5 linked regions of the Tribolium castaneum genome follow. The protein of the gene in region 1 purifies or fractionates together with the protein of each later gene. This does not show direct contact. Links are inferred from orthologs where the notes say so. Each region holds a gene or a part of one and is shown in the gene's direction. Other genes may lie near its edges.

Region 1 (6,450 bases):
TTGAGCCCCTTGTTGCAAAATGTAGTGAAAGGAGTAACAACTAAGTTTCATGTGATTTCGGCCAGAAATGATAGTCCTGAGTTTCAAAAACAGGCCAAAATGTTTGATGAGAAACTGCGAAATGGCGGCGTGGTCACAAAATGGACGAATGTCGAAGATGTGGACCATTTTGATGTGGTTGAAAGGCTGGTGGATGAGAATTTTGAGGTCACCAAGTTGATTTTGGTGCAAATACACAATCCCGATGAATAGGCGTAAAAACGTATATTGGGTTGCATAACCATTTTTTTAAATTTATTATACAGGCTGTTAGGAAATGGCTTAGCAATATTTCGTATGTGAATTTGCCATGATTAGACGAGTTAGAAACCCTTATATCACCCTTATATAATTTTTCAAAATTGTGGCTACCATGTTCAGTTCCCACATGTGTGGAAGGTTCGAATCCCGGTCCTGGCAAAAAAATTTGTATTTTTTTTGTAAAATTTAGTAACACAACACAAATTGAAATAAACAAATAACGTAGTCGACCAATAAGTTAATTTACTTAGGCTGTTTAGTCAATAATATTAAAATTGACGCTAATTTTTATAATTCTAGCTTAGCGGTTCTCAAAATTTGTGACTTTAATTTCAGAACGATTTTTTGGAAAAACTATACATTTTTGATTGACATAAATTTTGCTAAATCGATTTGTTTTGCCATTTTCTATCTGCCTTTAAATTTTTGCTAAACCATTCCCTAACACGCTGTATTAAAATTGTTTCAATTTTTCGCTCGATAAAAAAAAACACAATTTGTTTCAAAATAGTTTATGATTTTTATTTCCATTCATAAAAAAACAGTCATAGTTGGTTGCATAACCGCAACTTATCTAAACTAATAAATACTTGTAAATGTTATTATTTTTTAAGGACAAGACAGTTTCGTAATAATCACAAAACTTATTAGAAAAATACAAAGTACAAAATATTTTATTTCAAGCTTTTGATTTCCCTACACAATTCTGCGAGCTCTTTTAACATTTCATAATTTCCATTTCTCTTTTTTTCAACATTTTCCAAATTTTCTCTCTTAAAACTGACAATAGTGTTCAAACTCTTCATAAACTGAAACAACCAATAAAACATTATCCTAAAACCCACAATAAATTACCTTAAGGAGCCGCTCGGAATTTTTACAGCACGATTCAATTACTTCCGAGGCATCTTCTGGAAAATTAATTTCATTCGGTTCCTTGTGGTTTACCAACAAACGTTGAACATTGCTCTTAAATTCGAGAAAATTGTCTTCGAGTTGTTGAGTCGAATCTTCCAGTTGCTGCTTCAAATTCGAATCAATTGAAAGGCTTTGATTTTGGTTTCGTGAGTTGAGAATTGCCTTTAGATCAGCGATTTCCTTGCGATATTCTTGAATTTTGGCGGCACGTTGACTGAGAGTTAGGGTTTGTTTTGATCCGTAAGTTGGGAACAAATTCGAATCAAAGTTCATCAAATCATCGTAGTTGTTGACATCGGAAGTTATGGTTTCGGGAACAGTTTCTAAAGCTTTAAACATTTTGCTCATGATGAAAAACTGAAAATCGAGTATATTGGATTGATAAGGGTGTACTTTAAATCAATACTTGTTTGCTGAGGTCACACTCGCCGTTCATGAATTGAAGGCTTTCCTTAGCATCATCACAAAATCCGTGACAGTAGATTATTTCTGCTAATTTTTCTTTATCTGCGTTCGCACAAATCTCAGCAAAACGAACATTGATTTGTTGCAGAATCCACGACACGAGAAACGATCTGTTGGGGGTGGAGAAAATGTCACAAATTTTGCACTCCTCCATTTCGTGTATTTGGGGATAATTGCGCTCTTTCAAGCACTCAATTATGAATGATAAATTTTCCTCCATCTCCACAATTCAAATTCCCCGCGCCGGTTGTGCAAAGCGCCACCTGTAACAACAACGCCATCTCTTTTTAGCCAATGGGAAAAGTGCGATAGAAATAAACGAAAAGAAAGAAAGCTTCTAGATCTAGAGCGTTGAGTCGATGGTAAAATGGCGTCTGTGATTTCAGCCTTTTAACTCAAAATTGTTAGCTTTTCAGTGCTTTTCCAAAGTAGGGAAAATGAGGAAAACGTAGTGCTCTGTTTGGAAAAACTCTGACTAGTGTTTGTGCAACGTAGGTAGGTCATTTATGTGGGAAAACCGACCGGATAAGAGGGATAGTCTTAGGTCATTGCATTGTAATTTCTCCGATCTGTTACTAACTGTATGAATTAGCGTTTTTTCCAAATTTTACGTAGTTTTTTAGCGTATTTTTCACTTACCTGGGTTTTCTGATGTTAATTAAGGGAAACACTACCGGTTCGATGCTCACGCGTAACCTTCAAGTGCGGGTAAAAGGCGGTTTAAATGACGTGAAGTGGGCCAATCAACGTCTGCTATTCCATAACTTTGAATTTGGGACGGTTTTTTGTTTTTTGATTTTCGAAAAAACTGACAAAAAGTTAAAAAATCAAGTAGGCGTACTTTTTGACATTTTGAGTTAAATAATAATGGTAGCACAAAAAAGGACAATAACAACAAATCACGCCACCTGATTGGCCAATTCGAAACAAATGAAGAAAACACGTTTTTATTATTTTTTTTTGTTTTTTTAGAAAAATGGCGAGTCCTTCGCCCCAGAGCAGCCCCATGCCGCCGCCGCAGGCGCCCAGCCCCATGGGCCCGCCGATTCAGAGCCCTGCGCCGCCCCCGTCGCCCCACAGCCCGTACCAAGGGCCGCCTCCGATGGGCCACGTGAACGGGCCGCCCCCACATTCCATGCCCCCGAATGCCCCCAACATGGTGCAGATGCAGCCGAACCCGGGGCATCACATGCCCCCGCAGCCGCACCCGAATATGCCCCCGCATCCGGGCATGCCGCCGCAAGGGCCCCCGAATCACCAGGGACATCCGCCCCCGCAAGGACACCATATGGGCGGGCCGCCGCCCCAGCAGGGACATCCCCAAGGGCCTCCCATGCAGATGCAGCCAGGGGGGCCGCCCCCGCAGGGGCATCCGCATGGCGGGCCGCCGCCCCCGCAAGGGCATCCCATGCAGCCGGGGGCACCGCCGCATATGGGCCCCGCGCATAATATGCAGCAAGGGCAGCCCTATCCGGGACATTCCATGCCCATGGGGGGGCATCCGCAGCAAGGACAGGTAATGAGATGAAATGACAGTTAAAATGCGGGAGGCCTTCTTTATTTTAATTTGAATATTCCATTTTTTTCAACGTTAGGATTCTATATATCAAAAATATTTGGTCTTGAGCCAAAAAGTCGCTTTTTATCTTTAAATATAGCCGTGATAGTAAGTAATAATAGCTTTATTTGCAAGTACTAACAATCTGTAAAAAGTACATATTCTTATTATGCCATATTTATGATTTTTTAATACTACATTTTAACAAAAAAGCACCAGTATAAGAAAATATCGCTCTTTTTAATGTAGGTTATAATAAAAGGTAAAGTCTTTTATGCGTAATTAATAATTATAAAAATGTTTTATCTTCGACTGTTCATAATTAGAAGCTTTATGTCACCTTGTAGCGGCCATAATGAGCCTCATTATGTACTAGTAAAATAAAATAGCAAAATTGGTCGCTGATATGAACAATCACTAATCAAATTTTAGTGCTGTCAGAGTAAACTTTGAAAATTCTATTTTTGAAATAAACTAAAATTGCATTGATAACAGGGGCTGGTTTAGTGAGGCGTCATTTTCATTTTGTTTGACTGTACTTTATTCGATTTGTTTTAACTCTTTTATTATTATTATTATTATCAGAAAGATAATAAAGTAATGTACTATTCAAAAGTGTGGATTGTCATTAAAAATATTTAAAATGGCTACATTTTCTAAAAAACACTGGCGTTATTAATGTTGTTATGGTATCAAAATGTAGAATTTATAAAAATTAAACCGTTATGTTGGTCAGTAACAAAGATATGAATTTTATGCGCTATTTTTTCCTTTTTTACATGAATCAAATCACCTAGGATTTTTTTAGAATTCTAGTTAACTCAGAGAGAGGTTTCGTTTCTAATGTAATAAAAAATTATGTTTAAAGTTATAAGATAGACAACAATGGGGCGAATTAAAAAAACAAGCTACAATATCTTGAATGGATTATTAATAATTGCATTTGATATTTTCGAGAAATGTTTCTTAGAAAATAATAACAATATAAATCAATCAAAATGTGCACCTTTTATTATTTCTCATGGCCAACAAGTCAAGCAAATGGCTATTTTAATGATAGTTATCTAATTATAATAGTGACACGTTAACTACTGGTATATTTGTTTTTATTTTGACCGTTTTTCTAATTAATAAATTATCGTCAAATTGTCATAAATTACCAACAATTTGCTTTTCAGATTGCATGAATACTTCAAAAAAATTTCACAGCGATTTCCTTGACAGTGTAATCCAAGGCCACCTTTATTTATCTATTTACAATAAAACAATTGATGCCGAACCAATTTCCTTAAGTTTATTGCATAATTATAATTACAACTAATAAAAAAAACTATTTGCATCCAACATTGGCCTTCTTAACCAGCAGTGCAGCCAATCTTTCGTCATCGGCACGTTTTTCGACTTGAAGGAACTGATCCAAAAGGGGCTTTGAGGCCGCTGCTATGAAATTCGGTTTCATGAGATCGAACTCTTTACCCCCTGAAACAGAAATTAGGGAAAAAACACAACAAAAAAATTTATTACAAGTGGAGTCGCCGACAGCCCCACCGGCCTCCGTTACTATCAAAACCCCGGCAGCGGCGTCCCATGGGTACAACCCATCGCACTGGTAGGCGTCCATTGAGCCCCGCGCCACGTAACACAGCCCCAAAGCGGCCGAACCCATCGAACGTATTCTACCAATAAGTTAATTAATAAAAGTAATTTATTGGGAGGGTTGGTACCCCTGGATCACCGCAATCAAGTGGGTCAGTCTGTACATGTATAACTCGCGGTGTTTTTCGGACCGGGCCAAGGATAGCTCGTAGTTGAGGACCGATTTTTGGATATCTGAAGCAAAATTGAACTTTGGCAGAATGTATCAACTGATGTAACAAGTTTTATTAGAACTCTCAGCTTCGCTTCGAGCTTCAATATTAAAACTTTACAATGTCAAATTACACCTACCAAACATACAGGATTTAACATAATTTTCTTAAATGGCACACCCTGTATATTTATACATATTTAAATGTGCACTTTTTAGGCATTATAAATTAGTTTAGTTTTTGCAATTTGCTTTGACCATTCATTTTTTCATTTTTTTTACAATTTTGTGCGTATGCAGGCACATTATTAAAAAATCGTAGTGCCTTTGGTTTTTGGGATACTAAGTTGGGACTTCGTCCGTAGGTAAACAAATGTCTGAGGTAAATTTTGAAGGACCATAACTTTATTTTTTTAAATAACATCTCCTGTATTTTATTACTAATTATTATTCAGCGTCTCATTTTACATCTTTTTTGCCTTTTTAGTTTTTTTCAAAAGTTGATAGTTAAGAAGATAATTCGGTTTTTATGAAAAATGCACACAAATCTCCTGGATACTAATGTAGCGTGCTATGAAAAACAATACATTTTGATATACTAATGTCAAAATGGCATTTATAGTACTTCACGTTTTGATTTTATTGTGAAAATGAATTTTTCGCGTAAAATGCATACCTAGAAATGTCATCTAGATATAAATTTTTATAAAATTTTGACCAGAAATTATTAAATAAAAATGACAGAAATTTACAATGGAGAAATAAGGAAATAAAAAACTGAGGTATAACAAATCAACAGCGATAACATATTACTTGCAGTTACAAAACGATTTAAAAGGAGGGCATTCTTAAGCAATAAAATAATACATTGGTCTTTTTTTTACATTCACCGCTTCTAATGTGACATGATCTATTCTATAAAAAGCTTTTTTAATTCTTTCTTGCATATTTTCTCTAGTAGTGTTTTTTTATTTTTATTTAATGATTTCTTATCAAAATTAAAGTTTATATCTCGATGAGATGTGTATGCAATTTACATGAAAAATTCATTTTCACATGTCTTATGTTGTTATGTCAGAATGTATTGTTTTACATGGCACAACACGTTGGTATCCGAGGGATTTTATTTGCGTTTTTCAGAAAAACAGAGTTATCTCCGAAATTATCAATTTTTGGGAAAAAATTAAAGAGGTCAAAAAGATGTAAAATGAGATGCTAAATAATACTAAGTAATAAAATACAGAGGGTGCTATTTGAAAAAATTATGTTATGGTTCTTCAAAGTTTGCCAAAATGAATGTGTCACAGCATGGTAATGCTACAATAAAAATAGACAGTCTTCTCGCCGAAAGATACCCCCGACTGTTGTTTACACACAGACAAAATCCCAACTTAATATCTTG
Region 2 (6,319 bases), on another chromosome or scaffold:
TTTAAGTTGGATAATCAGGGTTGCCAAATTAATTTAGTAGTCACCCGGTGCATGCCAACTTGATGCATCATTAAAAACGCCCTCACCTTATCCTGGACAAAAGAAACGAGACGGGAATATCCAACAGGAGCCAATACTTCCTCAACAAATTAACAGTCTCTAGAACATAAACAGAACATTCCTTGGGCAATTTTTTCTCAATGCTGAGATGAGCGATCGCGTAGTAAATACTGCAGTGATTGAGATGATAGCTAACTCCGTGTTTATCAAAGGTGACAAGCGTGTCAATGCTGTAGGTCTCCACGTGGTTTAAAATCAATTTAGCGACCAATTCAATCGGCCATTTGGCCCCCATTTGATCGGGCAAGTTCGTGTGGTTGCACACCGTGATACAGCTATCGTCAATGCCCAGCATGCGACACGATTTGTACAATTCCTGTTTGCGGGTTTTCCCCAGTCCGTAATTTTGCCCTGAAACGAGTGATTACGCCCGAAAAATGAGCGGGTCTCAAACCTGTCGAAAGACACATCAGGAACACTTTACATTGGTTCTGTTTGGTGAAGTTCAAAACAGTGGGGCCAAAAAACATGCATTCGTCGTCAGGATGTGCGATTACTAGTAAAACACGATGGGGGTTTTTTACGTCTTTTTTGAAGTGGATTATCTTCCAGCGAGAGATGGAAAGGTACAAAAACACGCATACTATGATGTACACGGACACGGCTACGATTAAATGCTCCACGGTTTCTTTCGTGTATTCCTGGACTCGAACGGTTAGATTCTTCCAAGAGGCTGAGACGAGGGACACCAACGATTCGAAACCTAGACTCATGCCAAGGCGCTGCTTGGCTCATCTCAGTCATGAAGTCACGCTCGAAATAGATTTACCGAGCATTTGCGGTATTTTTAGATTTTCTGGCGGAGAAATTGGCACAGGGCATAATTTTGAGGTTAGGTTGACGTCCCCATTTCTAGGGATTTTTATCTGTCACTAGCATTCCCAAGCGGGAATTCTGGTCACCAACAGAAAATCAACGACAGAAAAGACATTTCTAGAAACATTCACGTTTCTAGAATTTTACATTTTTAAATTAATACCACTAATAGTCTTCATAATTGTAAAACTAATGGTACTTTTCATTTTTTTATGTTCGTAAAAATAAAAAAGTTATGAGACCTCAAAGTCTCTCTAGGTGTGACGTCGGGCGGCACAATTGACTCAGCTGGTTAAAATTAACATGTTTCCAAAATTATTTCGCTGTTCCTCAATTTTTTCCATTTAGCTATTGCAGTCCTATATCTTTTATGAATGTTTAATGAACTATAACTAAATAAAATAAATAAAATTCAGAAATCTCACGTTATAAAACCGTTGGATATCAAAAAATGAGAACAAGACATCTTTAGAAAAACAAGAGAATCGTAATTTCATATCTTTGAAAACACTAGGTTTATAATTATAAACCACATCTACTTATTCATCGAACGTATCTTCAAAAGCATTAACAAATAAAGAAATTGTATTTCTGTAAATAACAAGTCGTTTGTAGAACACTTATTTTTTTACATATTTTTTTTTGTACAAAACATTCTGCAAGCATCGCTTGTTCTATAAATCATAAAAATTTCCATTAGTTAATGTTTTTAGTTTTTTTTAAATAAAATAATATTTTATTAATATAAATATTTCTCATTAATTAATATTTATTATTTATAAGAAATTGTAGAAAAAATCTGATAAAATTCGAAGGCTTACAGAAAGAAATAAAGCAAAAAAAATCACAAACGCTGATTTTTGTGTGATTATTTAAATGGATTATTATTGGTTATTAGTGATTCATTACAGTATCTCCTTAAACAAATTACTTCAATTATCACAAATAACACTTTCTTTCAATATTTATATCTTTTAAGTCAATAAAATTATCCGGAGATCTCAATACAATGCCGAAAGGAACAGTAGTGTGTAAATCGCCGTAAATGACCCAATACTTAACAGTTTTTGATTACGCAATAGATTAAATAACTCTTTGTAATCAAAAATCTTTTTCACTTTTTTATCAAAGTCCAACATAAAACACTTTATAATCACGAAAAAACGCAAAACCAAAGGCAACACTAGTATTTACCGGCATATAATTTTAAATTGACTCTCTCTAATGTAAAAAATTAACAGTACACACGCAGAATTGCTAAATAATCCATTAAATGAGCAATTACCAAAACTTGTTACTGTTTTCGGCAAGTACGACATGTCGTCACCAGAGGACGCCTAGTTAATGCATTTCTGGTGATTTCAGTTTTGTCAATTAGACTAGCCACCAAAAGTGTTTTTTTACGAATTGTTTGAATTAATTAACCCCAAGTACCATCTCGTGCAAAACCAAACGAAATAATGTGAATCGTGTCCTTGCTTTGTGTAATTTATGCCCGTATTTTCCATTTGAGTGCCCTGTTGACATTTGTTGGTGTCACCTAACCTCACAGTGTTAAAGGACGCGGCAAAATGGCCCTCCGAACATTCGGTGAAAAACCGATAACTTTCCAATTGGAGGAAAATGGGGAGTATTACTGTGTGGGCTCCGAGGTGGGGAACTACCTGCGCCTGTTCCGGGGTTCCCTCTACAAGAAATACCCCGGAATGTACCGCAGGTCAATCACAAACGAGGAACGCAAACGCCTCATCGAGCTGGGCTTGAGCCAGCACGTTCTGGCCAGCAGTGTCTCACTGCTTCGGGCCTCGGAAGTCGAGGATATCATTGAGGGAAATGACGAAAAGTTGGTTTGTTTTTTGGGGGTTTTGTTGTTATTTGTTGATTATTTAGGTATAAGGCTGTTTCGGTGCACACTTCGGACCCGCCGATGCCGAGGGAGAGTAAATCGAAGAAGTCGATGCAATGGGTGCCCTCACTCCCAAACTCCAGTCATTTGGACGCTGTGCCCCAAGCCACCCCGATTAATCGGAACAGAGTGGCGGCGAAGAAAGTTCGGACGTTTCCGTTATGTTTTGATGATACTGATCCAGAGCTGAATATGCAAAATGCGGCACAAGGGGAGTTGTTGGTCCCGATAAGGCTGGATATGGAAATTGAGGGGCAGAAGCTGAGAGACACTTTCACGTGGAATAAAAACGGTAATTTTTTGGGTTTTTCTAATCACAGTACGCTCTGCATTTGAAATAAAGTTGTAACTTTTACATTATTTATTCTTATCAACTTATTTTCGAATACTTATTAGCGCATTTTGATCTGAAATTTAATTCTTGAATAATTTTTAAACCTGCCACCAGTCATTTAAACTAATCAAGATTGCGTGATACGAGAAAAATATGTTGGCAATGACTGTAGTCTAGTAACTAAGGTTACATCTGTTATCTAAATTGACACCATATTGTTGATACTGGGTCCTGATTATTAACTACAAACTTGTAGTAAATGATAAATTTTTTGATAAAACGCATTTTTAAACACTTTTAATATGATTTATAACTTTTTTTGAGTTTAATTTAATTAAAACACGTCAAAAGATCATCTAAATATGTCGAAAATGACCTGAATTTGACACTCTTTAAAAACAGTTCCAATTAGATTAAAGTGTATGTTTTCTTTAAAGTGACTTTGCTTTTTTGTTGAAGCAAAACTTCATAAAAACGCTAAAAAATCATCTAAATATGTTGAGTAATAGCGTTATTTCCAGATTATTTTGCCTTTTTTTTATTAAACTTATCTTGTTTTTGAGTATGAGACTTACTTGTTCTTGAAAGTTTTGTCAAAAAATGACTAAATTAGGTCGAAATTGACGTTTTCTTCAGTAGTGATTTGGACACATTTCGTGAAAATGCACCGAAAAATCATCTAAATATGTCAAAACTTATGTCATTTTGACAATGTTTTCTCTTTTTTGAAAACTTTTTTTTTATTAAATACCCCGAAAAATATCTAAATATATCGAAAGTTACGGTTGGTTCGACATTATTTTAGTTTTTGTCGTTAGATTTATTTTTTTTAGCGAGAAACTGACTTTTTTGTAAAATTTTGTCAAAAATAAGCAAATTGAGATAAAATTGACGTCCTAGTTTTAAGAATTTCTGGTAGGTTTATTTGTTTTGGAGCCAGGAACTGCAAAGTTTCGTGACAGAATTAATCAAATGTAATGTTTTTTTTAACAGCTTAATTTCTTAAAATAATCTAGCTTTGTTTTTATACGAAATTGCATTAAAATGCGCCGAAAAATTTACTTTCATATTTTTCTTGCCTTTTTCATTAAGTAAGTAAGTAAGTTTTTGAGCGAAAATCTCCATTGTTTTGAAGAATTTTGTCAAAAAGCCAATTTAAATAAAAATTGAGGTGCTTTTTCAGTCTATTTAATATATTATTATTTATTAATTATTCTAACCAACTGTATTTCTGTTGAAAAATGTACTAAACACGCTCAAAAATGTAAAATAATTGAGTTTTAAGTTTAAAATGGTGATAAAACTCCCAAAAAATGCAAAATTATCACCATTTTTGACGCAGGTTAGTGACTTTTCGGCTTATTTTTGAGAAATTTAATAATAATAAAAGTGTTTTATTCTCCCATTTTTGTTATTTGATAATTGTAGAGTGGGCCCAAGTCCCAAACCTTTGTTTTTATCTATAGCCGACCTAATTTAAAGTTTAGACCAAGTAAATACCAACTCAAGAAAAAAAAAACTTTTTTTTTTTTTCAGAAGTTTCGTTTTTTCTTCTGTCTTTTTGTTTTTTAGTTCGAACATGTATTTGACTGTCATCCTTCATCATCAACAGAGTATTTTTTTTAATTACACAATATTTTGTGCATTGTTGTTAGTTTCGTAGTTTTTTTATTTTTATTATTTTTATATTTGTTGAAATCGGGATATTAGAAATTATATTTAGGGTTTCAATTACCAACTGTTAAACTTTTATAAAAAAAATTTAACAAGACGAAAATACAAAACAACCGTTGGGTATTTTTGAGAGACGATTTTTTAAAATAAAAAAAATAAAAAAAAATTGTATAAAAAATAATGTTTGGTGCTTTTGAGCGACTAGTTTTTGGTTTTTTTTTCAATATCAAAAAAATCAGCAAACGTAACTTTAGTCACTTATATAGTTATTGACAACGTATATCTCGCAACTCGATTCAGTTTATGCAAATTATTAGCATTAACAAAAATCATATCACAATTTAGAGAGTCTCATCACCCCCGAACAATTCGCCGAAGTCCTCTGCGACGACCTAGACCTCAACCCCCTGACCTTCGTCCCCGCCATAGCGCAAGCAATCCGCCAACAATTAGACGCATTCCCGGCCGAACCTTCAGGAATAATCGAGGAAGGTTCGGACCAACGTGTCATCATCAAACTGAACATACACGTGGGTAACACCTCGTTAGTCGACCAAGTCGAATGGGACATGTCCGAGAAACAAAACAATCCGGAAGAATTCGCATTGACTCTTTGCTCGGAATTGGGTCTGGGTGGGGAATTTGTCACAGCGATTGCGTATTCGATCAGAGGACAACTGTCCTGGCACCAGAGGACCTACGCCTACAGCGAGGCCCCCTTGCCCACGGTGGAGGTGCCCTTCAGGACGCCCAGCGAGAGCGACCAGTGGGCCCCCTTTCTGGAAACGCTCACCGACGCCGAAATGGAGAAGAAGATCAGGGATCAGGACAGGAATACGAGGAGGATTCGGCGGCTGGCGAATACGACTCCAGGGTGGTGAACAAGGTTGGTTTTAAGTATTTACCAAAAAAAATATATGAATTTTATCTTGAGTGATTAATAAATGGATGGAAATGGAGACGGTTTCAATGTGTATTTTGTGTAAAAATATCGCTAAATAATCCTTTATTCCGGATCCTTTGTATCACGTTTTTTCCTCCATTTCCCTCCGGAAATACGTCCACTGCTACATCACCAATTTATTTTTTCCGGTGCAGTGTAAGAACGTTTCAAATAATTTTTTTATTTTTGAAAATAATTATTTTATGCATCTGGGGAATTTGAATTTGTCACTTAAATTTGGTTTGCGGCGTTCACTAAATTACGAAATGCGGTGAAATTTTGAAATAACCTAAGGCTTAATCTAATTGATTAAGAAATTTTTATTTTATCTGTTGGAAATTGGTCTCAAAGTTTGTAAATAATTTTTTCTATTCTTAAACATTGTAACTTGATTATGTGCTTTGATCTGGAGAATCTGAATCTGTCATGTAAAATTAGCTCGGCCCACTAGATTCAGAGATATGGTGAAATAATTAAATCGTCTAAAGCAAACTTCCGCTAAGTTGGAAAATGGCTTCTAAATTCT
Region 3 (6,346 bases), on another chromosome or scaffold:
AATAAAAGAAATGGCACGCAATACCTGAAGGCTACAATTGTTTGAATTCTGCAAAAACTCTACAAATCGTGGGATGATCCCGGTCTGGACCACCTCATCAATGGGTGGGTTGGGTTCGTAGCTCAGCAGTTGTCTGAATTTTTGCGTGGCGCTGATTTGCTGCTCCACGTCGGGGCTGTACAACGCCTGGACCATTTCGGGGGTGATCATGGGCGAGACAGGCGAGAGGATCTCGCTGTCCACTTGCAGATGGTCATTGTCCTCGGCCAATTGGTTGACGTTAACATTCCGCCGCTTGTTCAGCTGCTGTTCCCGTTTCTGTTTCCTTAACTGGAGGCCTTCTTCCTCTCGCCGCCGTCGCAACTCGACGCTGTCCAGCGCCGCGTTTTTGTAGCGGTGTTTGTGAGCGGAGCCCGACATCTGAGCGATGAGTCAACAGTTGAAAATTATTGATTTTTTACGCAAAAAATATCGACCTTGTGGGGTTAAAGCGGGCGGATTCGTGACAGGGAGAGACCAGAAAGGGGAAATCTGTGAGGGTTTAACCTAGCCAAGGCAAGGCTTTTGACAGGTAAACCAGGAAATTTGCTAAATTACCTTCCGTAATGTCCGACGGTTTTTCTCACACTCAGATGGAAACACACATTTGATACTTTTGGACGAATCAGGAATTCAGCGATAATTGGAAATGGAATCGTGAAAATGAAAATTCTGGCATTCGGAACTATTTGCAACACTGCGGAAGGAATGACAGGCAATAAAATCCCTATTAACCAATCAAGTCCTGTGATTGGCCGAAGGCGAATTATCGACCAATCACGAGACGACTTCGTCCTCGTAGTAACTTTTGAAAGTTACTGTCAAAATGACAGCTTTTGTGCGAATTTTAGGTTATACAAAGCCCAGTTTTTCAATAAAAACTTTATTTCGTAAGATTTATACGACAGCGAGTGAGTACCATCAGAAATTACAATTAATAAGTAACCAATTGTCTTTAATTAGAGTTAAATCACGGTGAATACGAATGGCAGGATCCCAAATCCCCCGATGAAGTGTAACAGTTCGCGCGGTTATATTACGTAAAATACACATTTTTTTCAGTGTTAACATAACTTTTGTTACAAAAGACGGTGAAAAGGTCCCTGTAAAGGGCAAAGTAGGTGATAATGTCCTATACTTGGCTCACAGATACAAAATTCCCATGGAAGGGGCCTGTGAGGCCTCCCTAGCATGTACCACTTGTCACGTTTATGTGAAAAGTGATCACGAACTTACGCCAGCTGAGGAAAAAGAAGAGGATTTGTTAGACATGGCGCCGTTTCTTAAAGAAAACTCTAGGTTAGGTTGTCAGATTATTTTAACCAAAGAATTAGAAGGGCTTGAGTTAGAATTGCCACAAGCAACGAGGAACTTTTACGTTGATGGCCACACACCAGCGCCTCATTAACCTTCTATTGTGTAAATAACGAGTTATGAAGTCAGCCACCAATTTATTTTAATAAAAAAGTGTTAAAAATTTATTTGTCTTTCTTGCTTGTCGGTTTTTGCGGCTTTTCAGTCTTACGACATTTCATTAAAATTATCAACAAGAAACCAACAACAGTCGCCGCTAAACCAATTTTCCACGCCATTGCGCTTTCCTTCAAATTAAGTACGATATTTTCGACAATATTATCACTGAAAAATTCCATTATAACACAAGAAGATAAATTGCAATTGCTTACAATGGCGTTTTAGGCGATGGTACTTTAATGGGAGTCACGTTTTTGTACCATTCTTGGGCAAAAGAAGTGAAAGACGCAACGTCGTACTTTTGGATTTGATATTTATACATTTTGCCTTGTCTGAAGCTAAAAAAATGTGTGAGAATTGAAACAAAATTGAGAAGTCAATTTACAGAATAAAAGTTGGGGCTTGGGAGACTCCAAATCGTGTGGCGGTAGCGGCCCCATCTGTCGCCTTATTGACTCGTGCGACGTTCATTCGTGTTTTTAATTGTGCCCCGACTGTCTCCCACCGGGCTTGAAGGCGGTGGCAATCGACACAGTCTGGGGTATAACTTTGAAAAAATTAAACAAAAATCTACAACCATTTAAAAAGACTTACAACATCACAAACCAGTCGCCTGTGGTAGCCCCACTGGCGGCCTGGGTTAAGTGTTCAAAAGTCTCATCGTTTAATTCCTTCACCACCGGTTCTTTATTGTTAACAAATGTGTGAAGAATTAGCTCTTCTGAAGGAATATCTAAAGCAAAATAAATGCGAATAAAATTGATTACGGTTAAATGTAGCAATACCATTATAAAGTAGAGGAATTCCATGTCTGAAAAACACCAAAACCGGCTCCTTCGTGGGGCTATACAGTCTTGTTAACTGGCTGTTAACGACTTTAACAGTCTCTCCTTCAAATGATTTAGAGAACTCTTCCTCCAAATTTGTTAAAATGTTTTCGAAGTTATCACAAAGTTCGCAATTTTTCGCAGCTGGAATTTTCGTTCAATCTTGATAGGAACGCAAAGTGGGGACTTACAAAACAGCGCAACCACATAAGTCTCACTTCTGATTAAGTTCATGAGATCATCATCCTGGATTGATTTTATTGCACCACAGTTACAAAAACTATTGAAAATAACGGACAGACACGACAAAATATACAAAAACCTACTCATTTTAGCTCAATAACCTCACATAACCCAAAACATTCAACAACACGAAAATCCCCCAGAATTGTCAACCATCAGCCATTTTGTTGACGAGTGATGCCGGTTTTTATTATCGATTTATGATTTGTGCACAAATGTGAAGTGCAAGGGTTTATTTGCAAAAACGGTGTGTTTTTGTGGACTTTTCCTTGTGTGATGATCAACTGAATCCAGGTTTGTCCAATTGCAACCATAATTAGCAGTTGTTTCATGATATTTGCCCAATTAGTGTAAGGCCATGACTGTATTAATTTTTACGGCCATTGATTGTGTTTTTCAATAATAAAAAATCAATTAACGAGATTTGACAATCGTACATTGTCAATAAGCTATTTCTGGCGCGTGTTTATGGTTACCGACGTCCGTGGTATTCCGTTTAGCGTTTGTTTACGACGTCATTTGACACAACAATTGGCGCTCATTTGAATTAAGACTTCTGTAATTTGATTTCTGTACGATTCACTACTTTAGTTAAATGTAGCCTTGGTTGAAAACCTTTTCAGCATAATGAGTAAAAGGCGTCGAACGAGTTCTATAGCCAGTAGGGGGCAAGAAGACGATTCTTTGGATAGTCTGGAGGCTTCGACTAGTACAGGACCTACGATGCGAAAGCGCAGCAAAAAACTAGATCCTGTAACAGGAAATTGCGAGTTTGTTCCACATTGTGACGCCTTGTTTTTAGATGGAACTTTGTCAACAATTGTACGATTCAATCCGCAATCACAAAAAAGACGACGGGACTCTTCTCTGCGATTCGTTTATTCGAGTACCGAAACGTAGACAAGAGCCCGGCTATTATGAGGTTGTTTCAAACCCGATCGATTTGTTGAAAGTGCAACAAAAACTGAAAACTGAGGAATATGAGGATATCGAGGATTTGCAGAACGATATCGAGTTAATTGTCAATAACACGAAAGCTTTCTATAAAAAGAATTCGCAGGAGTATCGCGACGCCATAGATTTGTGGGCCTTGTTTCTCTCTAACAAACACAAGTGAGTCCCGTTTTTAAATTAATTAACACTTAGCCATGTCTCAATTCAGACTACTTAATACCAAAGACGATGAACCCGAACCTAAGGGAAAAATCGTGTTAAAAGTCGGAAGACCGAGCAAAAAAGCCGGCACTCCGGTCGAAACCAAAGAACCTGAGCACTCTGAGGACACTTCAGAGAGTTCGAATTTCGACGACGATGTCAATTTATACGAGGAGCTGTTCACTTCAGTCATGACAGCGACCGATAATGAAAATCGGCCACTTCACACTTCTTTCCAGCTAATTCCCTCGAAGAAAAAATATCCCGAGTATTACGAAGTGATCGAACAACCCATCGATCTAAAAATGATTGCCACCAAAATCCAAACTAACGACTATTGCAGCTTGGCCGAGCTCGAGAAAGACTTGATGTTAATGTGCAAAAACGCCTGTTTGTTTAACGAACCCGGTTCGCAGATTTACAAAAACGCGAAAGCGCTGAAAAAGGTGAGAGCCGGGTTGTTTGTACCATTGACCCTTCAGTATTTTGTAGATAATTCAAAGTAAAAAAGCCGAGCTGGATCACATTAAATTAAGTTTGGGTAAAAGCAGCGAACGCATTAGGAATAAACGGTTAAGGGGCAGTACATCGCTATCTGCGGTCACTGCAGCCCTAAGGGACGACGAGTCGGACGCTGAGGTGGAACCAGAGGAACAGATGGACGATGAAGTAGCAAATCAAAGTGCAAAGTCGTTTTTTCAATGAATTGTTTCAGTCAATTGCTGATCCTCTTGATGTCGAAGATCCCCAGTGGCAATTGTTCGAGGCTGTGCGTTCAGTGACGAGTAATAGCGGAGTTTCCTTGAGCGAACCCTTCTGGAAATTGCCCTCGAAACGTTTCTATCCAGACTATTACCGCGAGATCAAAAACCCAGTCTCTTTGACTCAAATCAAACGAAAACTGACCAAGCACGCTTATGGCACCATAAGCGAAGTGGCCGGTGACATGACCATAATGTTTGAGAATGCGAAAAAGTATAACCTGCCGTCGTCAAGGTTGTATAAAGTGAGTTTGGTAACGTTTTCAACGTGAAATTTGAGCGAGTTTGTTCCAGGACGCTGTCAAGTTGCAAAAGGTCATGCAAATGAAAGTGCAAGAACTACTTGACATTGATCAGGTAACATACAGAGTCACTAACAAAAACCGGAAGGTATGCTACTGCACTGCTTATGTCTTCATTGCATTTATTAACTGTCGGGAGTTATTCATTTTGTGGGCGCTTACGTTGCTAACATCAGTCGGCTTGTTTCACTATTTTCCTAATCAGGCGTTTGAGTTGATGGTAATTGTTTAAATTTTTGTCTTTTTCAATCTTCAGGATACAGACAGTGAGGCAGATTCCGAAGTCGTTGTGCGCAAAAAGCCAGGACCTAAGCCAAAAAATACGCAATCGAGTGGCAGCACGCCACAAAGAGGGCGTCCACCGCGAGACCCAATCCCGCTAAAAAAACGTTTGCACGCTTTAGCGAAATATATGCTCGACTATACTGTCAGTTACACGTTTTGCAATTTTTTTTCTATTAGCCATTTTTCAGTGTGAGGATGGCCGAAAGCCCATGCTCGGCTTTATGGAAAAACCCTCGAAAAAATTGTATTCGGAATATTACGAAGTCATTTCGGAACCGATCGATTTCCTCGAAATTGAGCAAAAAATTCGCGCCGATCAGTACAGCTCCGAGAGTGACTTAGTCAAAGATTTTAAGCTCATGTTTTCGAACTGCCGACAGTTTAACGAGGAAAATTCGCCAATTTACGAGGATTCCCTCGTTTTGGAAAAACATCTGTTGGATAAAGTTGGGCATAGTGTCACTCCGGAAAAGAAGGAAAAAACCGTAGTCAGAGTGTACGTTTCCGGCTGAAAAATAAAAAAATAACAGTTTAGTTGCAGTGTTAAACCGCGCAAAATTCTCTCGCCGGTTGAAAAAAACCTAAGAACTTTGTACGACGCGATCAGGGATTATCGGGAAGCTAAAGCCAACCGACAGTTATCGCTGATTTTCATGAAGTTGCCGTCGAAAATAGTAATTTGCATTTTTTAGTTCAGTCGTAAAGTGTCGGTGATTGGGAACAAATCACAGACATTGGTTACGACTGGACTTGTTTGGCTCGCTTTAAGCCCCGTTTTTAGGACTATCCCGACTATTACGAGGTGATCAAGAACCCGATAGACATGGAAAAAATTTCACAAAAGCTGAAAAGCAACTCGTACGAGACCCTCGACGACTTGGTCTCCGATTTCATCCTAATGTTCGACAACGCGTGCAAATACAACGAGCCCGATTCCCAGATTTACAAAGACGCCTTGGTCCTTCAAACTGTATGTCTCCAAACCAAGCTTCAACTGAAAGAGGACGACGATACGGTTCCCGACGTCTCGGCGGCTGTCCAGGACATACTTTTGAACCTCTTCACCAACGTTTACAACCACCAGGACGCGGAGGAACGGTGCTATTCAGATTCGTTGGCTGACTTGCCCGAACACGATGAAATCGACGGCAAAAAGTAAACTTTTGCGACTTGTAAACTTTGAGTAATTATTTCGGCTTTAGGGTGCGAGCGGTGTCTTTGGACTTGATCAAAAGACGGCTTGATCGCGGTTTGTACAAAA
Region 4 (6,423 bases), on another chromosome or scaffold:
TCGAGTTCTTCCGGCTTGAAAAGCTCCTCTTCTTTGTGCTTAGATTTTTTGCCCTTTTTCTTCTTTTTCAGGCCTTTTGTTATCTTGTGCATTATCTACTCTAAGTCTCATCGAGGCTTCTGAAAATTACCTCAAATAAATCAGTCAGGAAAATTATCAAAAGAATTTTTTTTCTATATTTATCTCTTACAGTTCTTGTAATAATTGCAAAAAACGGAATTTTGGCTCATTATTTTCATTTTTAATCCAGTAAACTTTCAAAAAAATGCTATTAAGTAAAAGAAATGTCCGATTTGTCCACCATTTTCATTCAAGAAGTTGAAAACAAGATGGCAGACTGACTGAGTTACTTTACATAATTCACTAAGTTATTATTAAATCTTATTGTTTTACTGTTTAATCGATAATAAATCAGCTAAAAATTACATATAATGTTGAAGTTTGACAATTGTTGACCATTTTGCATGGCCTACTTAACTCACGACGAAAATTACAAAAAAAATTGTTTTTTGTGATTTTTTTCAAAAACTGTAAGAAACAGGTATAGGACTTGTTAATAAAAGTCGATGATCTTTTGATTTCCGTTAAGAAAATCGGGTCGTTCTATTTGAAAAATTGAGTTTTAGCCGTTTTTTGATAACCATTTTGAAAAAATCATACTAGCTTTGAATTTTGACAGTTGACAATTTTGAAAATTCTAGAAAGGTTTTCGAACCTTTGGTTATCGAATGCAAAAAAATTATTCACTTAATATAAAGAGTTTAAGAACTGTGATATTTTAAATAAACTCCTGTAAATGAAAATTTTAACAAGAAAATTGACATATGTCTAAAACTATGACAGATAGGTGCCAACAACTTAAATAAATTTTACTCAGTTTAAAAAGGTGAATTCAAAAATGCAGTAAAAATGTATGGTTATTATTTAAAATTTCAAAGTTGTCGTAAATTTTTTGTAGTTTCGGAAGCTTAACCATTTTGAAGAAATGGTCAATTTAGATCGTATACAAAGTTTTAAAGCTCTGGCTATTAACGACGTTTATTTGACAATTGTCACTCGGCTGTTACTTGACATCATACAACTAGATTTGATTAACTATTATTTTTTTTAATTTTGTGAATTTTTTAAATAGTATTTTTTAGTATAAAAAATAATATCTACCAAATTATAAAAAGAAAAATATAGATTACAATTTAAAAGAAACTAGTGGAATACAGCCCAAAATATACTATGATATTTAGAAAATTTTTAAAAGCACCAGCTTATACTACATTAAAAGCGGTTTAAATACCTTTTTTAATTTTTAAAATCGGGCCGTAACTAAAAATTCTATAGAGCCTGACGATTTTAAAACATCACCTTTTACATTAGATTAAAAACGCACTGAAATTGATTTAAAATAATTTTACCACTGTTATTAAAATTTTTCCCGAATTGTAGGAGTTCCTTGTTTTTATTTTTTTAATAATTAATTCGGACTTTATTTATTTATGATTGATTCTTTCTTGAAGAGCTATCAAGTGATCCTAAAATTTCTGCATTAACTTGTCTTTTGATTTTTTATTACAAATTACAAAGGAACATAATTTTGGAAAATTGTAGTATTTCGCGAGAAAAATATGTGATTGAGTGTTTTTTTACCTAAATTACATTAGGAAAAGTCCGTCCGTTCGCACCCAAATGAACCGGATCACAATTCAGTCGAAACTGAGTCACACAGTGAGCGTCGCGACGCTATTGATTTGGAACTAGAATACGTCATCCACCTACGATAATGTACCCGATTTATGTTCGAAAAATGTACCACGCGGTACAACAATGAATGAAAAATACTTTTAAAAAATCGCCCGATTATGTTTCTAAAAATATCTCAATTGTCGCGTTGCTTTATTGAAAAATTGCAGTCGTTGTTTAAGTTTCTTGGGGATTTGAAAAGGGTAGTATTACTCACTTTTTAGGCCTCATATCACATCAAGCATTCAGACTGAAATCGCACCGAAAAATAAAACAGTTACATTGTCTATTAAAACACGAATTGATTTATTTGAGAAATTTTTTACTTGAAGACGGCTTTCCAAAGGGCTATGGCGTTCACTGGATGGATCCAGGCAACCGGTATTGATTATGCGCAGAAATGATGGCAGTGTATCACAAAATTCGAAAATTTGATTAGAGTGGCAAAAAAATGACAAACTCAATTGTGGCATTACATTTACAAAATTGTACATTTGTGTGACATGTAATTTCTTTCAGCAAATAACATTAATGGAATTGGAATTTTCGAATTTTTTAGGGAGTTGCGTAGCGTCACGTTGGCGTCAACAAAATCAAATAAAATATTGTATGTCTCACGGGTGGTGATGAAATTATGAATTAAAGAAAAAATAGTTCTAACATTATTTTGAATTTTTTTTTTTTTGAAATATGGCGCCAATTATATTATCAAAAACAAAAAAATTGCACTAAAACGTGTGATTTTGATCGCAATAAAAAAATAGGAAATAATTTTTGAACTTTGGCCCAGCTTAGTAAATCGCTTGATTTTGAGCTGGCAAATCTTTGGTGTGTTTTTTGTACTCTTGTAAATGCTTTTTGATGGGTTTTTTGTAATGGAAACAAAATATTGTTTGAATTTTCCGCTTTTTGTATCGTAGGTGGCGCTTTGCTGGAAAATAGAGAGAGAACGACTTGCATCTTTCTCCAATTCGTTGTCAGTTGTCAACATGGCGTCATTTGTGTAAAAAGTGTTGTGTATTTTAAAAGAATCTCAATTTTAGATCTAATTTAATTAGTGTGTGTGTGAAAAAATGGCTCTTCCAGCCAATTACAAGCAAGTAGCGATGCAAATGCCTAGCCCTCAAACAAACCGTAAGACAAAGTTGCAAGAAAATGCATTTTTCCAAATAATATCTATTATTCTGACGTTATTACTATAATTTGACGCGAATTGCTGTAGATTTTCCAGTTAGTTTTTGAAAATGTTCGAGTAAAATCCAGTAAAGGAGCTTGCCGTTCGCATGAGTATTTTTGTAAGACGCTATTTATTATTTTTGAATTATTGATGACAAGTCATAATAGCATGAACTAGGTTATTCTAAGCTAAATGCTATGGTTTATAAATTATTTTTTCCACTAACACCCGCATTTATAAACCATAGTAGACTCTTTTTTTGTAGAATAGTGCTGATGATTGCTTTGTTTGTGTTTGTTGTTCAGATTTGCTGTCGGCAGGCGTGCCCATGACTTTCAACATATTGAAAGGTAACTGCAATCTTCGTTTTATTAACATTTTACAGAAGTTTCAAACATTCTTCTAAAATAATTAAGCTTTGCTTCTTTCCATCATCATCAATCAATTCAATGGAAAAGAAGAAAACTGTAATTACAGTTTTCTACTTTTTTTTTGACCAATTGGTGGCAACAAAAAATGTTGCCAACTCGATTTCGTAGTCAGGGCGGAGAATGTCAGTAGAATTTAAATTAGCTAAATTTTGCTCTAGGCTTATTACTTATAGTAGTTGCACTTTAACAAGGTTTTTCATTCATTTGCTCTCATTTTTAATAGTTAAGGTAAGTAGTGGTGTTTTGAGTCATTGTTGCACGTTTCGTTTGAGGTAAAATCGAAATGAAAAATAATTTTTATTCTAGAGCGTTTGAGAGCGTCTGGAGGGTCCGGATCTGGATCAAATGTAAGTTTTAATTTTTTTTGGGTTGTTTCTTATCTGTAGAGAAGGATTCTTGGGAAGATAAAGAAATTATTTTGTACATTTTTTATTAATTCCTACTGCAGGAAAATTAAAAGCAATAATTCTGAGATCTCAGTGACTTAGTGAAACACATAAAAACATTAAAAAAAATTATGTAAATATTGTCTTAATGTAGTAATTTTTCAAACTGTTTTTTGATTTTGAGCACATTTTTTACAAAAATTTGAGAAAAAATTGTATATGATTAAAAAAAAGACAAAATCGTAATGTTATTCTGATCCGATTTCGTGATTTTTTCGATCATTTTTAATAAAATCTGAAACAGATAATCGAGAATTTATATAAAACTACTGTGTTCAATCAATTTATATTTTTTTGCTTTATTTTTGACAGAAAAACCTGTAAAATTGAGTGAAATAAATAAAATATCAATTTCGATCTGATTTCCTGACTGTAAAAGTCTTGCTTAAATAATAAATATTTACTTTTTTAACAAAAGAAATTTCTTTCGAGTTTTCCTGGTTAGTAAAGTTTCCCAAAATCGGGTTTCTATGGCTATTTGTTCTTCAAGTTAGAGTTCCTATATTGGGAGAGTTGGGACACTGAACGTCAAACCGAGCCAATTTTGTATTATGTGGATAAGGTATATATTTCTATCCTTTTTTATTAAAATTTTTGTTAGTAACTTATGTCAGAGGTTTATGTTGAAAATAATTTCAAGGTTATAATTTTTGTCAAATGCATAAAATGACATAATTTTACGTCAAATTAAATCAGGGACGTAGAAAACGTAGAAATTTTGGGATTACTATTTAAAAAAAGAAAATAATTGAATACCTATCAATATTAATGTTCACATTTCTGAAATTTTTCAATATTTATTTTAATATTAAATACATAACTTAAAACATACTTCAATGCTAAAAATGCTTTTCTTTCAATCACAATTTTTAGTTAAACATCTCGTCCCAAAAATTGGTCATCAAGAACCCTTCATATTTCCTGACGTCTTTTTAAATTTTCTAAAAAATGATATTGAAGATGTTCTCGTATGAAAAACGTAACAACATCGTGAATTCCCAATAACTTTATAATTTGAAACAGTAGCTAAAGTTCACGTAGATGGCGGCCAAGCAGTAACAGGTTCAACTTTCCTAAAAATTAGAACCAATTTTGGGTTCAAGTACCTACGTCTTTTGTAAATGCATAGACAAATTCCCAAAATCTCATAAATTTTGTACATAACATTATTTCGACAATCCACTTTTCCAAATGCTTGTTAATAATAAACGTAAAACTTGGCAGGAAAGGTTCAGTTTCTCTCTCTTTCATCGATGATTACCATTTCTTAAAATTAAGGAAAAAATGTTTATGATGAAGAATTTAGACGTAAAATTCTTGTACTTACAAAGAAATCTCTTTTAAAATTTGGAGTTTATATAAAAAAAACAGTGAATTGACGACGACTGCCAGTCTAAACCATTTCTAAACGCAGTTAGTCGACGAAAAATGGAGACATTTTTTGACAAATTTATTTGACTTTTCGCCAAATTTCAAGTGTAACACCACTGATTTCTATCCCAATTTGTTTTTTTATACATTCCAACCGACGTATATGAAACAAAATTTCGAAAATCGACATTCAGTGTCCCAACTCTCCCAATATAGGAACTCTACTTCAAGTTACGTAAAATACAGGTCAATAAATCCTGCAGTTATTTTTACAGAAAGAAACAAGTCCGTTTGTAACAACGCCGAATGGCCATCCTGGGTTTTTACCACAAAAAGTGGGAAAGAGTTCGTCGGTAAGTATTTCTATCTTTCTCACAAACCCAACTTATCTACTGATAATTCTCACTTTATCTAGAACAAATAATATTTACGTATCTAAAAATTGTTCTTTTCCCTACAATTTAAGCGTGATGCAGCACTACGCTAACAATTTCTATTACGATTACAATCCTTTTTATTATTATTACAATAATAGCAATTACAATCAGTACAAAAGTAGTTATAATTACTACTACGTCCAGGTAAGTTTTAGCTTTTTAACCTCGAAACAAATCAGTTAGAGGCTTCCATTTTGAGAACTACAAGATTAATACAAAAATATTTAATTATTTCTTTTGGCATTTCTTATGAATAAAAGTGAATAAAAGTTTCATGGAGAAAACAACATTATTTTTTCTTTGTAGAATGATTCGCGTACTCCTAAGCCCCCCAAAGCGCCCGAAAAGCCTCTCATGCCCTACATGAGATACAGTCGAAAGGTTTGGGATACGGTTAAAGCACAAAATCCCGATTTGAAATTATGGGAAATTGGACGAATTATCGGGCAAATGTGGAGGGATCTCCCCGAGGAAGAAAAAAACGAATTTGTTGAGGAATACGAAGCTGAAAAGGTTGGTTTCTAACTACTGAAATAGTTATAACAACTTTTTCTGCTTCTAGTTGGAATATGAAAAAACGCTGAAAACTTATCACAATTCACCGGCTTATCAGGCATTTATCGCTGCTAAAAATCGAGGTAAAAGTGGTAAGTTAAGTTTGAAAGGAATGAAAATTTTCTTGTAATGATAATTTCAGGCAATGATAGTGATTCGCATGATCGCAGCAGTTCGTCATCGAAACAACAAGCCGTCGATCGAAGGATTGAAATTCAAGCAGCGGAGGACGAAGATGGTAATTTATTTTTTGTCAATTTTTTTTATTAAAG
Region 5 (6,124 bases), on another chromosome or scaffold:
GTTAATGTTTTTGGAAAATTAACAACGAAAACACTCATTTTTGTAAAGAAAACGGCAAAAAAATAAAGATTACACGGTCATTGAACACGAAGCGTCCAATACGTAAAATTTGACAATAGTGCCAACCCCATACTTTAGAATTTAGGAATCCCCAGTTTTCTACCAATAATTATCGGAAATTGGGGCTACAGATATTCGGGTAAGAAGGTTTTTAAAGCGAAATCGCAATTACACACTCACTTACCTTGAGTTTGTTGATTTTAATCCCAAAATTTTGCTAAACTACAGGAATCTGTAATATTTTTGGCGCTAAATTTCTATGACAGTCAGTTGGACCAAATTAGATTAATCCAAGTGAGAGCAAAGGTCAATTGGCTTAAACGAGATGAGTAATGCGGTGAATAAAACTCGTAATTTGTAAAATATCGTTTATTAAAAATTAAATATAATATATTCAACTGTTCTATAATTAATTACTTTTTGCGCAATGTATAATATAGTAAAATAATACGTCATTTTTCATTTCCATTACTTAAAACCATTAACAACTATCAAATATCTTTGGCATTTGTAAATTTGTATCCTTACAAAAAAAAGGTGGCAAGTTTAACATTTTGGTAGATAATCACAAGTACTTAACGAGATGACCCATTCCAAAAAATCGATGTTTTCCAACTACTCTACTAAAAAAACAAAATTTTCGTACTGGTCACCTCATCAAACAAAAAAAAACTCAATGAGAATCACAAAATTTTACAATTCGATGTGTTAGTCACTTAGCGAGTTGCTATGTCTAGTCGTAACATCACTAATTGTAGAATTATGCCTAGTCTTTCTGCTGCCTTCTTCGACCTCCATTGGCGGATTTATCGATTGCGAGAGAGCGTTAGTTTTTTGAAAATCAATCGTAGCGTAACTTTTCGCTTTGTGGGGGCTTTCTGGCGTCACTTGAGAGGTAGAAACGTCGCTTTTCACCGGATCCAAGTCCAGCTCAGCGTAATTCACTTCGTGGACAGTCAAATAGAGCGCGGTGGGCGTTTGGGGCACACTTGGCGCCTCCGCCCCCGACAAAAGCGGCCTTAAATGTTCTAAATCTTTGGTGTCTATATTGGCGTAGCAATGTCTTGCGTTGTCCTCGGAAGGATCCGAGTCTTTGGTTCCAACGGTGTCCACATTCATGTACAGGTGGCACGGACTCTCCACAAGGGGGCGCAGCTCCTCCCCACATCTAAATACCCAGTGACTTTATTTTTATTTAAATCAAAACTGCCAAATTAAAATTTTTAATTTATCACCAACTTATTATTATTTAAAGGCAGAAAATTATAAATTATTCACCGAAGAAAAAAAATATAAAAGTGGCACAGTTGGCAAAGCTGTTTATTTAGCAAAATTTCAATCTAACTGACAAAAATGTGTAAAAAAAATCGGTAAAAGCGCCCTAAATGAAATAAATCTGGGACTTTAGCAACTTACCCCTCGGGGGCTGCGGCGCCTAAGTTGGCATAATTGGGAGCCTCCAACTCAGTAATAACACTGGAATTGGTGTACTGGTGGTCCCCCAAACTGCCCCTCTTATTATTATTGTGTTCGTGCGTCGACTCGGCCGTCGTGGGGCTCACCGGGCCGTTGCTGGTGATGGACCCAGGGCGGCTCAGACTCGGCCTGGGGGCCCCCACCGGATTGAGATAGCCCTCGGGCTGGGACGGGGCGCGTCGCTGCACAGGGGGCCCCGTGGAAACGGCCGGAAAGTCCGAAATGGCGTTAATAAGGGGGTTCTCGTCGGAATTACGTACAATGTGATGTTGGACGATATTGAAAAGTTGCTCAGCCTTGCGGCACCTAAACGCATAAATGCCTTGGCCAGTGGGGCACCTGCGACCGCACTCGAAACTGAAAATTTCCGAGTCGAAGCCGTACTTGCGCAGCGACCTGAGGGGCCACACTGTGGGGTTTTTGCCTCTTTGGTGTAGGACTAGTTCAGTTTCCCGGACTTCGAGCTTGCCGGGGCTCACCAAGTCGCCTTGGTCGTTGACGTTGGATACGTCGAAAATGTTCGGGTGTTGATCGTTTATGTCGGGCTTGCTGCTAACACAACCCATTTTCTACCTAGGAGTAAGGGGTAAATAAACATCAAGGTTATTTGGTTGGGGGCACTTACTAGGTTTGGCTCAAAGCTTGATTGCATGGACACGTGGCTTTTCAGGCATTCTGACCAAAAATTACTGTTTTTACATTTTGTTGTGAGTTTTTCGGGGTTTTTTAACCAATTTTTATGTGAAGTTCTCACATAATAAACAGCGACGCCATCATGGTTCTTCTGTCACCAGGCCGGCAACCAAACACAAAAAATGCGAAAATAAATTCATTTGACCACCGGCAACAACCCCACGGGCCCCAAAACACCCACAACAACACGCGTAAACAACCCAACAACCTTTCTGAAAATTTTTAAACAAAATACGGAAAAACAACGGTGTTGGTACCCCTACTAGTAGCTCAACTGGTCACAATCTCACAATGTTCACAAAACCTAATAGTGAATTCACACCTTTTTCGTATTTTTTTCCCAAACTTTGATTCAATAAACCCAAAGGTCGCAAAACCGTTCTTAATCACACATTTACTATTGATAATTCCTTATCAAATTAACAATTTCGTCCACGCACACCTTCGTCACCAAACCCACCAAACACACAAGACCGAAACTGGGCAACTGGGGACGCATCTGTGTGTTTTTTGTGCTTAAGAAGTGATAAAAGGCCATGGCCCAGCGTTTCGCGGGCCCCGTGCCGCCCCAAGGTCCCGGGGGGCCCCCACCCCAGCGTTACCCGCCCCAAAATCCGGGAATGCGCCAGTACCCAGCCCAGAATTTTCCGGTGAGTTTCCCCATTTTCCACCCAATTATTTCTAATTCGCACTATAGCAACGGACAGGGTACAACACCCCGCCCCCGAACATGGGGGCCCAGCCGGGCGCTATGATGCCGCGGCCCCCTCAAGCCCCCTATTCGCCCATGCGAGGGGGGCCCATGCCGCCCCAGCCGGGCGTTAAACGGCCCCCGGACAACAGGGCCGTCATGCAGCAAAAGAGGTAAGCAATTGGGAGTATACAGAATTGTTATTTTTATTTATTTCAAATATTTGTATTTGTTCGAAAAAATCGTTTACGCTGTTGGCAGTGATTACCCACATGGAACCAAGAAAAAGAAGAAGCTTTCCGACAAGATTTTGCCCCAAAAAGTCAGAGATTTGGTGCCCGAAAGCCAGGCCTACATGGATTTACTCGCGTTTGAGCGTAAATTAGACTCGACCATAATGAGAAAACGGTTGGATATTCAAGAGGCGTTAAAACGTCCAATGAAACAAAAACGCAAATTGAGGATTTTCATCTCTAACACGTTTTATCCAGCCAAAGAGGCGTGCGCCGAGGGCCCAGACGGCCCTGGACAAGAGGGCTCCGTGGCCTCTTGGGAGTTGCGAGTCGAGGGCCGCCTTTTAGACGACTCGAAAAGTGACCCCAATAAAGTCAAACGCAAATTTTCGTCATTTTTCAAATCGTTGGTGATTGAGCTCGATAAGGAGTTGTACGGTCCTGATAACCACTTGGTGGAATGGCACCGTACCTTAACAACTCAAGAAACAGACGGTTTCCAGGTCAAGAGACCTGGGGATAAGAATGTGCGGTGCACTATTCTTTTGTTACTCGACTACCAACCGCTACAATTCAAACTCGACCCGCGATTGGCCCGTTTATTGGGCGTGCACACGCAGACACGCCCCGTTATCATCTCCGCCCTATGGCAGTATATAAAAACGCACCGATTGCAAGACGCCCACGAACGCGAATACATCGTGTGTGATAAATATCTCGAGCAGATCTTCGGGTGTCCTCGGATGAAATTTGCGGAAATCCCCCAACGTTTAAACCCGTTGCTCCACCCACCGGACCCTATCGTCATCAATCACGTGATCTCGGTGGAGGGCGGGGCCGAAAGCAAGCAAACCGCCTGCTACGATATTGACGTGGAGGTGGACGATACGCTCAAAACTCAGATGAATAATTTCCTGTTGAGCACAGCTAGTCAGCAGGAGATCCAAGGTTTGGATGCGAAAATTCACGAAACTGTCGATACGATTAATCAATTGAAAACAAATCGTGAGTTTTTCTTGAGTTTTGCCAAAGATCCGCAACAGTTTATTTACAAGTGGATCGTGTCACAAACCAGGGATTTGAAGGTATGGAAAGTGAGTGTATTAGGGTGGAAAAGTGGCATTTTCCGCACGTTTGTTCTAGTGTATGACCGATGTGGTGGGCAATCCTGAAGAGGAGCGGAGGTCCGACTTTTTCTACCAACCGTGGGCGCAAGAAGCCGTGTGTCGCTATTTCTACACCAAGGTGCAGCAAAAAAGGGCCGAACTGGAGCAAGCACTCGGCATTCGCAACAATTGAGCGAAACCAGCACGAGATATGTATTAGTTTATTTGAATATAATTTCCAGCATTTAATAAATAAACTGCATTTTTAACTCAAGTCACTTTCCTTAAAATGTCTCCAAATAACCAAAAACAAACTCACTAAGGCTGGAGAATTTTTCCTCAAAAATTCAGTGATTTTTTTCCTATAAGGGTGAAAAATTTTCGGCAACAATGAGGGAAACAAACAGGAAATTTGTATTAGTTTATTAGAATATAATTTCCATCATTTAAATAAATAAATTGCATTATTGACTCAAGCATCCACTATCAGTTTCGTTACACAACTACGACAGCTGTACCAAAGACTGTTACTAAACAATTATCTACAGTCAACAAAAACAAATAAATTAGAAATGCAATTGTGCACCAATCGGGTCTTTGACGGAAGAACAAAACTTTGCTACTTATCACAATGAAATTAGATTGCATCGGAGCGATTAGCACTTGCGCCCGTCAAGCCAACCGTCCGACCTGCACCATTGAGAAAAACAACAAAATAAAATCGTTTTAAAAAAATATATACTTAGACCACTACAAGCAATCAATCAATCGTAAACAAATTTATACAAAATACATCAATCAGGCTATACAAATAATCCAGTTGTGTAAAATGTGCTACTTAATTACCTAAACGTGCTAGTTAGACCATTTGATCAAGAGGAGAGACAACTAAAATCCTAAAATAATGCCACTTTTATATTACAAAACACGATTTAAGCCTGGAAAATTTGAATCGTTATTACACCACCATGATTATAATAGCGCGCGACATGCGACAGGAAAACCCACAAATTATTTCTTAGCAATTGCACTAAAAACCGACCTAAGAAACAATTTGTCGTCTCAATAAGTGCACCTTAATTCTAGGATAACTAAGCAAGTAAGCACAAAAATGTAAGTCGTGTGTTGTTCCACGGCTTACGTAGTACGAGTAGTCAGCAATATTTTTGGTATCCCAGTGATCAGAGCACCGTTTCTGGAAGGAAAAATTCAGGAAATTAGAGAAAAAAATTAAATCAAGACTCACATGCGTCTTTCTCGTTTATGATAAGTGATTCGCGTTTTCGCGCAATTTCCATGTTTTTCTGGCCCATGTTAGACCCAGTACGGATCGCAGCGCCGCCACCAACAACAACATGATGTTGGCCAGACCTGATAGGCTTGGCAATTGTTGCAGCAGGGCCGCGACGAGCGAGGTTCTTTTGGCGGACGGCTTCCTTGATCCGGTCCACCTCGTATTGATATCTGAAAAAAAAAACAAAACATTTATTGGCGATTTTGCCGTAATTGAGAAAAATGTGAGCGCCAACCTTTTGCGATCCCTCATGGCGCCCTCCTTGGCCTCCTTGAGCGCCGTCTCCAGCGCCTTCACCCTCTCCATGGTCGCCCTTAGCCTCTTCTCCAGCTTGGGCAACTCGCACCTCAAATCGGCATTATCTCTCACAAGTTGCTTATGCACTTTGGTCAACTGGTCCAAATTATTCTCCAAAAACGAGATTTTCTGTTTCTGGGCCAACGAACCGCCGTCTTCTTCGTTATCTTCAGCCGAGAGATTTTTCTTCATCCGTGCCTACAACAGCATTGTTTCACCACTCGTCGCTACGTCGCTCGTACCCACCTGTAAGTCCTGGACGAATAATTTTCGG

What was found.
Region 2: the proteins of brm (region 1) and Snr1 purify together in Drosophila melanogaster (affinity purification with western blotting; 7 studies listed by BioGRID, with this or other methods). This does not show direct contact. The link is inferred for Tribolium castaneum from reciprocal best matches to the Drosophila melanogaster genes brm and Snr1.
Region 3: the proteins of brm (region 1) and polybromo purify together in Drosophila melanogaster (affinity purification with western blotting; 3 studies listed by BioGRID, with this or other methods). This does not show direct contact. The link is inferred for Tribolium castaneum from reciprocal best matches to the Drosophila melanogaster genes brm and polybromo.
Region 4: the proteins of brm (region 1) and Bap111 purify together in Drosophila melanogaster (affinity purification with western blotting; 6 studies listed by BioGRID, with this or other methods). This does not show direct contact. The link is inferred for Tribolium castaneum from reciprocal best matches to the Drosophila melanogaster genes brm and Bap111.
Region 5: the proteins of brm (region 1) and Bap60 purify together in Drosophila melanogaster (affinity purification with western blotting; 8 studies listed by BioGRID, with this or other methods). This does not show direct contact. The link is inferred for Tribolium castaneum from reciprocal best matches to the Drosophila melanogaster genes brm and Bap60.

Annotation. Positions count from the first base shown.
Region 1 is NC_087400.1:7,721,031-7,727,480, reverse strand, and holds the start of brm (ATP-dependent helicase brm), read left to right. Parts: upstream 1-1,935; 5' UTR 1,936-2,045; exon of another isoform or gene 2,046-2,091; 5' UTR 2,092-2,178; intron 2,179-2,655; 5' UTR 2,656-2,659; coding exon 2,660-3,199; intron 3,200-4,513; exon of another isoform or gene 4,514-4,571; coding exon of another isoform or gene 4,572-4,720; intron 4,721-4,765; coding exon of another isoform or gene 4,766-4,917; intron 4,918-4,965; coding exon of another isoform or gene 4,966-5,071; intron 5,072-6,450. Other genes in the region: kynurenine formamidase, read left to right, coding at 1-252; uncharacterized protein LOC103314458, read right to left, coding at 975-1,109, 1,156-1,575, 1,625-1,903; uncharacterized protein LOC100141828, read right to left, coding at 4,572-4,720, 4,766-4,917, 4,966-5,071. UniProt on the Drosophila melanogaster protein: Transcriptional regulator. Acts as a coactivator, assisting one or more dedicated transcriptional activators of ANTC and BXC homeotic gene clusters. Can counteract the repressive effect of Polycomb protein.
Region 2 is NC_087401.1:13,704,303-13,710,621, reverse strand, and holds Snr1 (SWI/SNF-related matrix-associated actin-dependent regulator of chromatin subfamily B member 1), read left to right. Parts: upstream 1-2,281; 5' UTR 2,282-2,507; coding exon 2,508-2,779; intron 2,780-2,826; coding exon 2,827-3,134; intron 3,135-5,195; coding exon 5,196-5,731; 3' UTR 5,732-5,809; downstream 5,810-6,319. Other genes in the region: PIG-L (N-acetylglucosaminyl-phosphatidylinositol de-N-acetylase), read right to left, coding at 87-471, 515-833.
Region 3 is NC_087397.1:6,256,889-6,263,234, forward strand, and holds the start of polybromo (protein polybromo-1), read left to right. Parts: upstream 1-2,734; 5' UTR 2,735-2,876; intron 2,877-3,183; exon of another isoform or gene 3,184-3,205; 5' UTR 3,206-3,209; coding exon 3,210-3,335; intron 3,336-3,384; coding exon 3,385-3,695; intron 3,696-3,744; coding exon 3,745-4,183; intron 4,184-4,229; coding exon 4,230-4,406; intron 4,407-4,452; coding exon 4,453-4,743; intron 4,744-4,792; coding exon 4,793-4,888; intron 4,889-5,056; coding exon 5,057-5,227; intron 5,228-5,273; coding exon 5,274-5,581; intron 5,582-5,620; coding exon 5,621-5,759; intron 5,760-5,866; coding exon 5,867-6,240; intron 6,241-6,287; coding exon 6,288-6,346. Other genes in the region: Kap-alpha1 (importin subunit alpha-7), read right to left, coding at 25-420; Fdx1 (adrenodoxin-like protein 1, mitochondrial), read left to right, coding at 866-950, 1,003-1,054, 1,102-1,447; thioredoxin domain-containing protein, read right to left, coding at 1,518-1,677, 1,725-1,850, 1,898-2,059, 2,107-2,245, 2,298-2,483, 2,531-2,669.
Region 4 is NC_087402.1:570,665-577,087, forward strand, and holds the start of Bap111 (SWI/SNF-related matrix-associated actin-dependent regulator of chromatin subfamily E member 1), read left to right. Parts: upstream 1-2,693; 5' UTR 2,694-2,807; coding exon 2,808-2,868; intron 2,869-3,216; coding exon 3,217-3,261; intron 3,262-3,309; exon of another isoform or gene 3,310-3,570; intron 3,571-3,648; coding exon 3,649-3,689; intron 3,690-4,948; exon of another isoform or gene 4,949-5,054; intron 5,055-5,115; exon of another isoform or gene 5,116-5,394; intron 5,395-5,422; coding exon 5,423-5,512; intron 5,513-5,575; exon of another isoform or gene 5,576-5,629; coding exon of another isoform or gene 5,630-5,740; intron 5,741-5,902; coding exon 5,903-6,109; intron 6,110-6,158; coding exon 6,159-6,243; intron 6,244-6,293; coding exon 6,294-6,389; intron 6,390-6,423.
Region 5 is NC_087395.1:25,850,965-25,857,088, reverse strand, and holds Bap60 (brahma-associated protein of 60 kDa), read left to right. Parts: upstream 1-2,548; 5' UTR 2,549-2,765; coding exon 2,766-2,879; intron 2,880-2,926; coding exon 2,927-3,093; intron 3,094-3,181; coding exon 3,182-4,247; intron 4,248-4,296; coding exon 4,297-4,452; 3' UTR 4,453-4,533; downstream 4,534-6,124. Other genes in the region: fibroblast growth factor receptor substrate 3, read right to left, coding at 769-1,228, 1,477-2,102; Khc (kinesin heavy chain), read right to left, coding at 5,453-5,454, 5,506-5,723, 5,789-6,048, 6,097-6,124. UniProt on the Drosophila melanogaster protein: Involved in the recruitment and site-specific anchoring of the Brahma complex at specific promoter sites.